2 linked regions of the Coturnix japonica genome follow. The protein of the gene in region 1 purifies or fractionates together with the protein of each later gene. This does not show direct contact. Links are inferred from orthologs where the notes say so. Each region holds a gene or a part of one and is shown on either strand. Other genes may lie near its edges.

Region 1 (2,770 bases):
CACCATGGGGCAGCCCTGGCTGTCAGCTGGCCTTGCTGAAGGTTGTGAATGAACCTGCCTGCTCTTTATGCTGCATTCCTTCCTGCTGCCTCGTTTGATGCATCCTTGCCCTTTAAAGTGAGCTGCTGGATTTATTGCCTCGCACTTTGATGCAAAAAAACCTTGACTGCTTTGCATTGCCCTGAGAGATAACAGCCTTGGCACGGCTCCTCCAGCAGCTCCTCCTGCATTGCCCTGCTGCCCAGCACTGCTCCCAGCACACACTGCAAGGTCGTGTTGGGGGGGGGGGAATTAATACAACCCCCCCGAGGGCAGAGCCGTGGGAGCTCGTGTCTATTTGCTGCGTGTTTGAGGTCTGCATTGAATACATTCAGTGATGACTTTCTCCTGCAGTTCATAAAAGATTCATAGCGAGAGCGCGGCCTAAAAAAGGAACCAACCAAACACCCCCCCCCCCGGTGTTGTCTCTTCTGGTTTAGTTACCTGAACGACTTGGATAGAATATCCCAGCCGACCTACATTCCGACTCAGCAGGATGTGCTGCGCACCCGGGTGAAAACAACGGGCATCGTGGAGACACACTTCACCTTCAAGGACCTCTACTTCAAGTAAGCCAAGAGCATGGGCTCCTATAGGCTCCTATGGGATCCTATAGGCTCCTATGGGCTGCAGTGAGTTCCTCAGTGCTCAGAGGGGTGGGGGGAGGTTCCACGCCCCCAGCAAAGCGCCTCCCCCTGTGCCAGCACTGCTCTCTGGTTTGACTTTTCTTTGCCTTCTTCTGTTCTTTCCAGCTGCTTTTATGTTGGACTCGCAGACGCAGGTACTGAGTGCTTGTTCACAGGAGCAGAACAGCAACTAATACTAAAAGGGCGCTGACTCCTGGCTGCTGAGTTTGAGTGTAACCCCCTTTTCTTTGACATGGGAGGTGAGGGCTGTCCCTTAGGCCCTGGCTCTGGGCACGTGGTGCTGCCATGCGCATCCAGCAGAGCTGTGAGGGACTCCTGGCCCTCTGTATGTCTGGCCAGCATCCCTGTCAGTGTGACCCACAGAGCTCCCTCTAACCCCATAGCAGCTGTTGGAGTGCAGCTGAGCTCCCTGCCCTTAGCACTTAGCCCTCCGTGCTGTGTGTCCCCATCCCAGCAGGCAGCCCCTGGATGTAGGAGAACACAGTGTTGTGTTGTGGGCGAGTTTCCCTCATCCTCTGGCCCTGTTTTCAAGCTGTCGTTGCTCCAAGCCACTAAATAAGCATTTATTGGCTTAACTTTTAGCTTGTGTTTGGAAAGAGCCCTAGCAAAAAACCATGTGTTGCTTATAGATTGTGGTTTGCTTGCATGCCCTCTAGGAGAACTGTAGTGCTCTGGCTTCTGTCGTAACTTACAAATGGTTTGAGCAGAAGTGCTTTGCACCGTGGAGCTGTTTACATGGCTGAAGGTTTGTCTTCCATCACGATGTGTTTCCAGCTGCAGTTTGCTCTTAGAAATCATTGCGTGTGATGGATGGGGATCCAGGCTCCCTTCAGCATCACAGCTGCAAACAGGGGCTGCCCCTTCCCTGCCCTCCTGGAGACACGGGGTGTCTGTAGAGGGATTTGCTCTATAAGGGAGGTGTGAGAGCTGCCATCCTGCTGTGCTGGAGCCCTGCTGTGAAGGCTCAGCTGATAACAGTGGGCTGATGTGGTGCAAGTGTGACTTGAATGTGGATCAGTGTGAGGCCGAGCTGTCAGGGATGGATGCTGTTTCCTTCCAGATTCATGTGTGCTAACAGCAGCCACGGTGGATGGTGGAAGCTGAGCAAATAGCCCCTATCTGGGCAGAGATCTTCCTCTTTCCTTCTGGGAACCAGCGGGCATTTGCCTTAAATAGAAGACAGGAGTTAGCAGAGCTGCTCTTGCGGCTCTCTGCTTTGACGTCACCGCGTTGTGTTGCTTTTGGCCCATGCTGCACAGTGCCCCCCTTGTCTGCGTGTTTGCTGTGATAACAAATCCGTGCTCATGATTTCTGTGCCTCTTGGATACACGATGGGTTGAAGGGCTCTGGGCAGCCCTGTGTCTCAGCAGAGCAGTGCTGCTATCAGCCGAGGTGCTGCACTGCAGTGCTCTCATAGCCAGGAGCTCCTACACTGAGCTTTGAGCTGCAGCAGCTCACCTGTTTGTTTCTTTCTTTCTTTGTTTCCATGCATAAAAGCGTTTCTTGACCTCACAGTGGTTTTCTTTTAGCAGCAGTGTGCAGGTAGATAGCCATGCTCCAGATAAACCTTTGTCAGGCTCAGTGTAAATGAACTGGAAGAGCTGATGTGAGTAGGTGTTTGGAGTCCAGTCAAGCAAACTGGATTGTTGCTAAGGAAATGGGAGGCAGGGAACAAAACAAGCGTGCCCTTGTGAATCAGCAGCTGATGGCTGAACCTTGGCTTGTTCTGCTCAAATGGCTCCAAAGAGAATCAGAGCCCGCTGGGGTCCTGAGGGGGGGCTCTGTGTTGCTCCCAGGCTGTGTGCTCGGTTTGAAGTGCAAACCAGGCCCTTCCATGAGCCCCCCCCACCTCCCGTGTCAGGGCAGAGCTCTGTGTGGCCTCTCAGTGTGTGCTGTGCCTCTGCAGGATGTTCGATGTGGGTGGGCAGCGGTCGGAGCGGAAGAAGTGGATCCACTGCTTCGAGGGGGTCACGGCCATCATTTTCTGTGTGGCCCTGAGTGACTATGACCTCGTCTTGGCCGAGGATGAAGAAATGGTACAATATAGGGGGGGGGTCCCAGGGTCTGTCCAATGGCCCTAGAGC
Region 2 (4,531 bases), on another chromosome or scaffold:
TACTCATTTTACCTCCAAGACCAGCCAGAATGGTGACAAAACACTGGTTAAAAGTTATCTGGAATGTCTGTTGGGAAGTCCCAAGGATCCCAAAGCAGGGCAGATCTAGAAAGGCGCTGAACAAGTCTGTCAATCACATTGATTTAGTTCAGTAAAACTACGCAAGAACCAAGATCAAGTCCCAGCTTTGGACACAAGATAGTAGAGGATGAAGAAAACAACAACCAGTCCTACAGAAACAAAGCAGAGTAACTTGCGGTTCTCCCTCCCAGAGCGTGTCATGGTGCTGAATCGCTTCATGCTGCCGGTCAGCAGCCCAGTAGCACTCAGAAAATCCGAATCCTAGAGGAGAAACAAAGTGCAAAAAGCAGCATTTCAAACTGGAGAGGCAGCCCATGAGGAGGGTCCAGCTTCCTGCTTAAAGAACAACTGCAGCAGCTGCGCTGTAACTGCCTGTATCTCTGTACCTATCGTGTCTCTCTTATGAGGAACTTCCCTGCCTGCGCTCGTGGCAAAGGCACAGGTAAATACTGCATACCAAGTATCTCTACATAAAGCTAGCACCGTTAATGCCTGCCAGGGCAGGCTAAAAAGCACCAAAACCACGCAGTTTCTTTCCATTAGTTCTCTTTTTTTTCTTTCAGCATGGGGCAGCATACACTTGTAACACCACCAGGTGGCAGCAAACAAGTCTTAAAGCAATTCATTATCATTTCGACTCCACGTCTGTTTTCCTTTCTCATAAACTACCTCCCACTTTTTGCTCACGTTTCTCCTGAAATATCCCTAAATCTTCTCTAATAGAAGCACAATTGCGTGCTGATTCGGGGCTTCTCCTTTAAGATCTCTTGTCTTTACATCTCTCATTCCAACTCTCCACTCTTTTGATTTCTAGGCTGAACAAATATCCAGTTCAGATACTCCAAGGCCATACACTGCTATTAAGGTTCCAAGCTATTAAGCTTCCAAGCTCCCACCTTTGACCAAACTGGTCCCAACATTGAAATTCATGCTTTTTACCCTTCTTTTTTGGTTCCTTACCATGCTATCCAGGTAACGGTTCTGTTCATCAGCATCTTTATCAATATCCAGAGCCAGCTACACAGCATAAGAGAGGAAATTGACGTTAATGAACACCAAGACAACCTGGAACGCATCTAGGCCCACACTAGAGGATGTGGTGGAGGTTTGTTAAGCACAGCCACAAAACAAGGCCTCTCACTCACTGCAGTTTGGGGTTGTGGGAATCCTTTTGCTGTGGAAATAATCTGGGAAAGCTGGCAGAAACTTCCCTATGTTGGACATATGACAACAGCTGACGGACCAGCACTGCCTCCTACTGCTACACGTCAGCCATCGTATGCCCACAGCACTGAGGAAGCCCACACAACTGCGTTGTCCCTGAGACCCTGCAAGCGTCCATAGCAGCGCCAGCAACTCACCGACTTCAGCCTGGTGACTTTGCTGGCCAGGTTGTCTGTCATGCGCTTGTTCTCCACGTCCAGCATATCCTCCATAGCAACCGCATTCTGTCCTGAGGAGAAAAGAAACGCGTCTCATCATCCCGACTGGGGAGCATGGCACATCCCCAAGATGGCGGCGGGGTGCCCCAAGATGGCGGCGGGGCGCCCCCTTTAGCAGCCCCTCAGCGCGCCCCTCACTCCTTCCCCCTCACCTCGCCCCCAGTCCGCCATGGCGGCACACGGCGAAAGGCGGCTCCGCCCGGCAGGAGGAGCTCCGCCTCTGTAAAATGGCCGCTGGGCCTTCGCCTTCCCTGTTGGGTAGTGAGGAGCGGGGAGCTATTACGGGAAGCACCGTGATCTGCTGCGGTAATCCTCGGGTGGGGAGGGGGGGGTGTCCCAGCGCTGTGCTGGGAGGGCATGCATTAAACGTCGGAAAGCAAAGAGGAAAGAAGAGGATTAGAGGGGCAGAGAGGCTGTACGTGGTTCACCCGTCTGCTTTATGGACGCAGCAGTGAGCCGGCTCGCTTGATTTTTGTTTCTTTTTCCCCACCCCCTTTCTCACTGCCTCTCAGTTCTCAAGGATCGAGGTCCCTTTGCACCGCTGTTATCCAGGAGCTCTGGAAGCCTTTCCTCTCTGCTTCCCATCCTGCTGTAGCTGAGCTGTTGGTATCATGGAGCTCAGGACCGTAGTGGCCACGGTGGAAAGCGGGGAGCAAGACGCGGTCCTCAAGGTGCTTCAGATCTACAACCAGGAGGTGAGTGAGCATCACACCTCAGCCTGATGTCACCTGCTGCTGTCAGCAAGCCTGGAAGCAGGTTGGGCCGTGTTATGGGTTCACAGTGCTGCCCAGCTATCCCATCTCCTCTGAGCATCTGTCTCTGCATTATTGCCCTGGAGATGTCATAGACTGCTTTGTTTTGTTACTTGCAAGCTGCTTCTTAATGATGCTTTACTAGGAAGCAGCTAAGAAGCCTCCCTTTATCTTGTTTATGCTGGAAGAAAAGTACATGGGAAGGATTTTCTTTATTATCCAGATTGCAAGTTAAACCCGGTAGGGGAATAATCATGGGCATGAGGAGTAGGAGGAGCCTTGATGCTAGGCAAGGTTTGGAGGTAATAAAACTCACACCTAGGGAGGAGCTGCAGGTAGGATTGTTGTGATTTGTAAGCAAAAGACAATTAGGAGTTGGTGTGAATGGATGCTGGGATTGGATTAGGGTGCCTGATCTGAAAGCTGGCGCATGAAATAATGAGTGTAGAACATGAAAAAGACCGGGTCAGGAAGCTGAAGTGCGAGTGACTCTAACCTTAGATCATCTGCAGGGGTAGTTCCCTTTTGAAACTGTCTGCCAGGGAAATTTCCTTCAGAGGGTTTCCACCAGGCTAGGGCTGGCCCTGCAGATCTGTGACTCATTCTGCACCATTCTGAAGTAGGAGGGAAGCTGGTGGGGAAAACCTGTGCTTATCTTACAAGCATGTGCACTTCCCTTCCTGCACTAACTGTTTCCAGCAGTCGGTTTTGAAACAGCAGGTCCCTTTTAAAAGGTTGGTCTGCAGGATTAGCGTTGCTGGCAGCAGCTGGTGTGCTGGAGAAATTAGGATAGTAAATGGCATTTGTTGTGCAACCGTGTTGAGGCACTAAATCCAATGCTTTGAATTCCTCCAGCTGGTTTCTTTGTCAGCGTGTAGAGCATAGGAAACTTGTGAGGATGTCAGTCATTTTGCTAGCTTGTCTGGGAGAAATGAGCTGAAGAGATTAAACTGATTATAAGCCAACCGACTTCCTTGCATAGTTTTTTTTACTACAAAAGCAGGTGCTGTTATATTCTTCTCTAGGTATATATATATATTTAATTCACTATTAAATATGCAGTCAGTTCCTGGTTGTCGGGAATAGAATACAGCTAAAGCCAAACCCACAGGTGTGTTATGGAAATATTTGTGAATGAGATTACAGGAGCCTGCAAAGAAGCTCTGGAAATGCCTTTGTGCACGAGGTCAGTCTGACTAACGTTCTGACTGACATGAGAAGGTTCACAGATGCAAGGGAAAGCTCCGTTCTGCATAGAGTGGAGCGTTCACCTGTTTTAATTGGCTGTGTGTGAAGAACGTGAGCTGAATAACAGTCCTACTTCAGGATGCTGTAGGAAGAACATAAGGATTTGTTTGCAAGTAGCAAGGAAGTGATGCTTTCTATTAGGAAGGAAAAGAAACAATAACAAAGGGGAGAAGAGCGTACACATAGCTTGGTAGAGTCATTAAGCGTAATCAAGTTTACCCAGGGAAGCTGTGGATACCAGGCCAGGCTGAATGGGGTTTTGGACAACCTGAGCTTGTGGTGTTCATGCCCATGGCAAGGGGTTGGAATTCAGATGATCTTTAAGGTCCCTTAAGACCCAAACTATACTATGAGTTATGGGATATTTGGAATGTATTGAATACCCACCTCACAGCTGCAGTATATAAAATTAAGCTGGTCCATCAGATGGGCACAGCTTTGGCCTGTGACATGTGGTGTCCACCACTGAGCCAGCAGAAGAGAGTATGGGGTGTTCATCGAATGTTTTTCAGGCATGAAAGAGAAGGAAAACAATTCTGACTTGGCAGCATGGGCTGTATCTGGGCTTTTCAAATGAGGTTCGTTCCCTGCTTGTTAAAATGTAGCTGAAGTTGCTGGATACAAACAGTGTTGAACAGAGAAGACAATAATGAAGCAAAGCTCTCAGCAACAGGAAAAACTGTCCTTGTGTCTGGCTCCTACCTATGCTGTTTGTTAAAGAGGTGTGCAGTATTCATAGGTTTTTTAACACTCTTTGCCTCTTTGATTCCCTGTGCTGGTAAAGACTTCTTGAGAAGGCTTACTTGTCTTTATAGAGTGCTTTTCAGAGTTGCTTTCCAAGCTTATTCCCTGTTTGGGAAAGGCAGATTTGTGGATTTTTAAACTCATACTTTCTTTTCTGCTCTACAGAAATCTCAATGCTTTACCTTTGATGATGAGGAACGGGAGGAGAGGAAGGTAGGCGTGCTCTTTGGCTTCTTGTTCTTGTTGTCCTGTAGATGGTGGCTG

The links.
Region 2: the proteins of GNAI3 (region 1) and RIC8A purify together in Homo sapiens (affinity purification with mass spectrometry; 3 studies listed by BioGRID and IntAct, counting the BioPlex papers as one, with this or other methods). This does not show direct contact. The link is inferred for Coturnix japonica from reciprocal best matches to the Homo sapiens genes GNAI3 and RIC8A.

What each region holds. Positions count from the first base shown.
Region 1 is NC_029541.1:1,615,541-1,618,310, forward strand, and holds part of GNAI3 (guanine nucleotide-binding protein G(i) subunit alpha), read left to right. Parts: intron 1-479; coding exon 480-608; intron 609-2,592; coding exon 2,593-2,722; intron 2,723-2,770. UniProt on the Homo sapiens protein: Heterotrimeric guanine nucleotide-binding proteins (G proteins) function as transducers downstream of G protein-coupled receptors (GPCRs) in numerous signaling cascades.
Region 2 is NC_029520.1:1,400,562-1,405,092, reverse strand, and holds the start of RIC8A (synembryn-A), read left to right. Parts: upstream 1-1,713; 5' UTR 1,714-1,829; intron 1,830-1,847; exon of another isoform or gene 1,848-1,938; intron 1,939-2,035; 5' UTR 2,036-2,134; coding exon 2,135-2,218; intron 2,219-4,432; coding exon 4,433-4,480; intron 4,481-4,531. Other genes in the region: BET1L (BET1-like protein), read right to left, coding at 175-342, 1,042-1,098, 1,443-1,534, 1,676-1,694.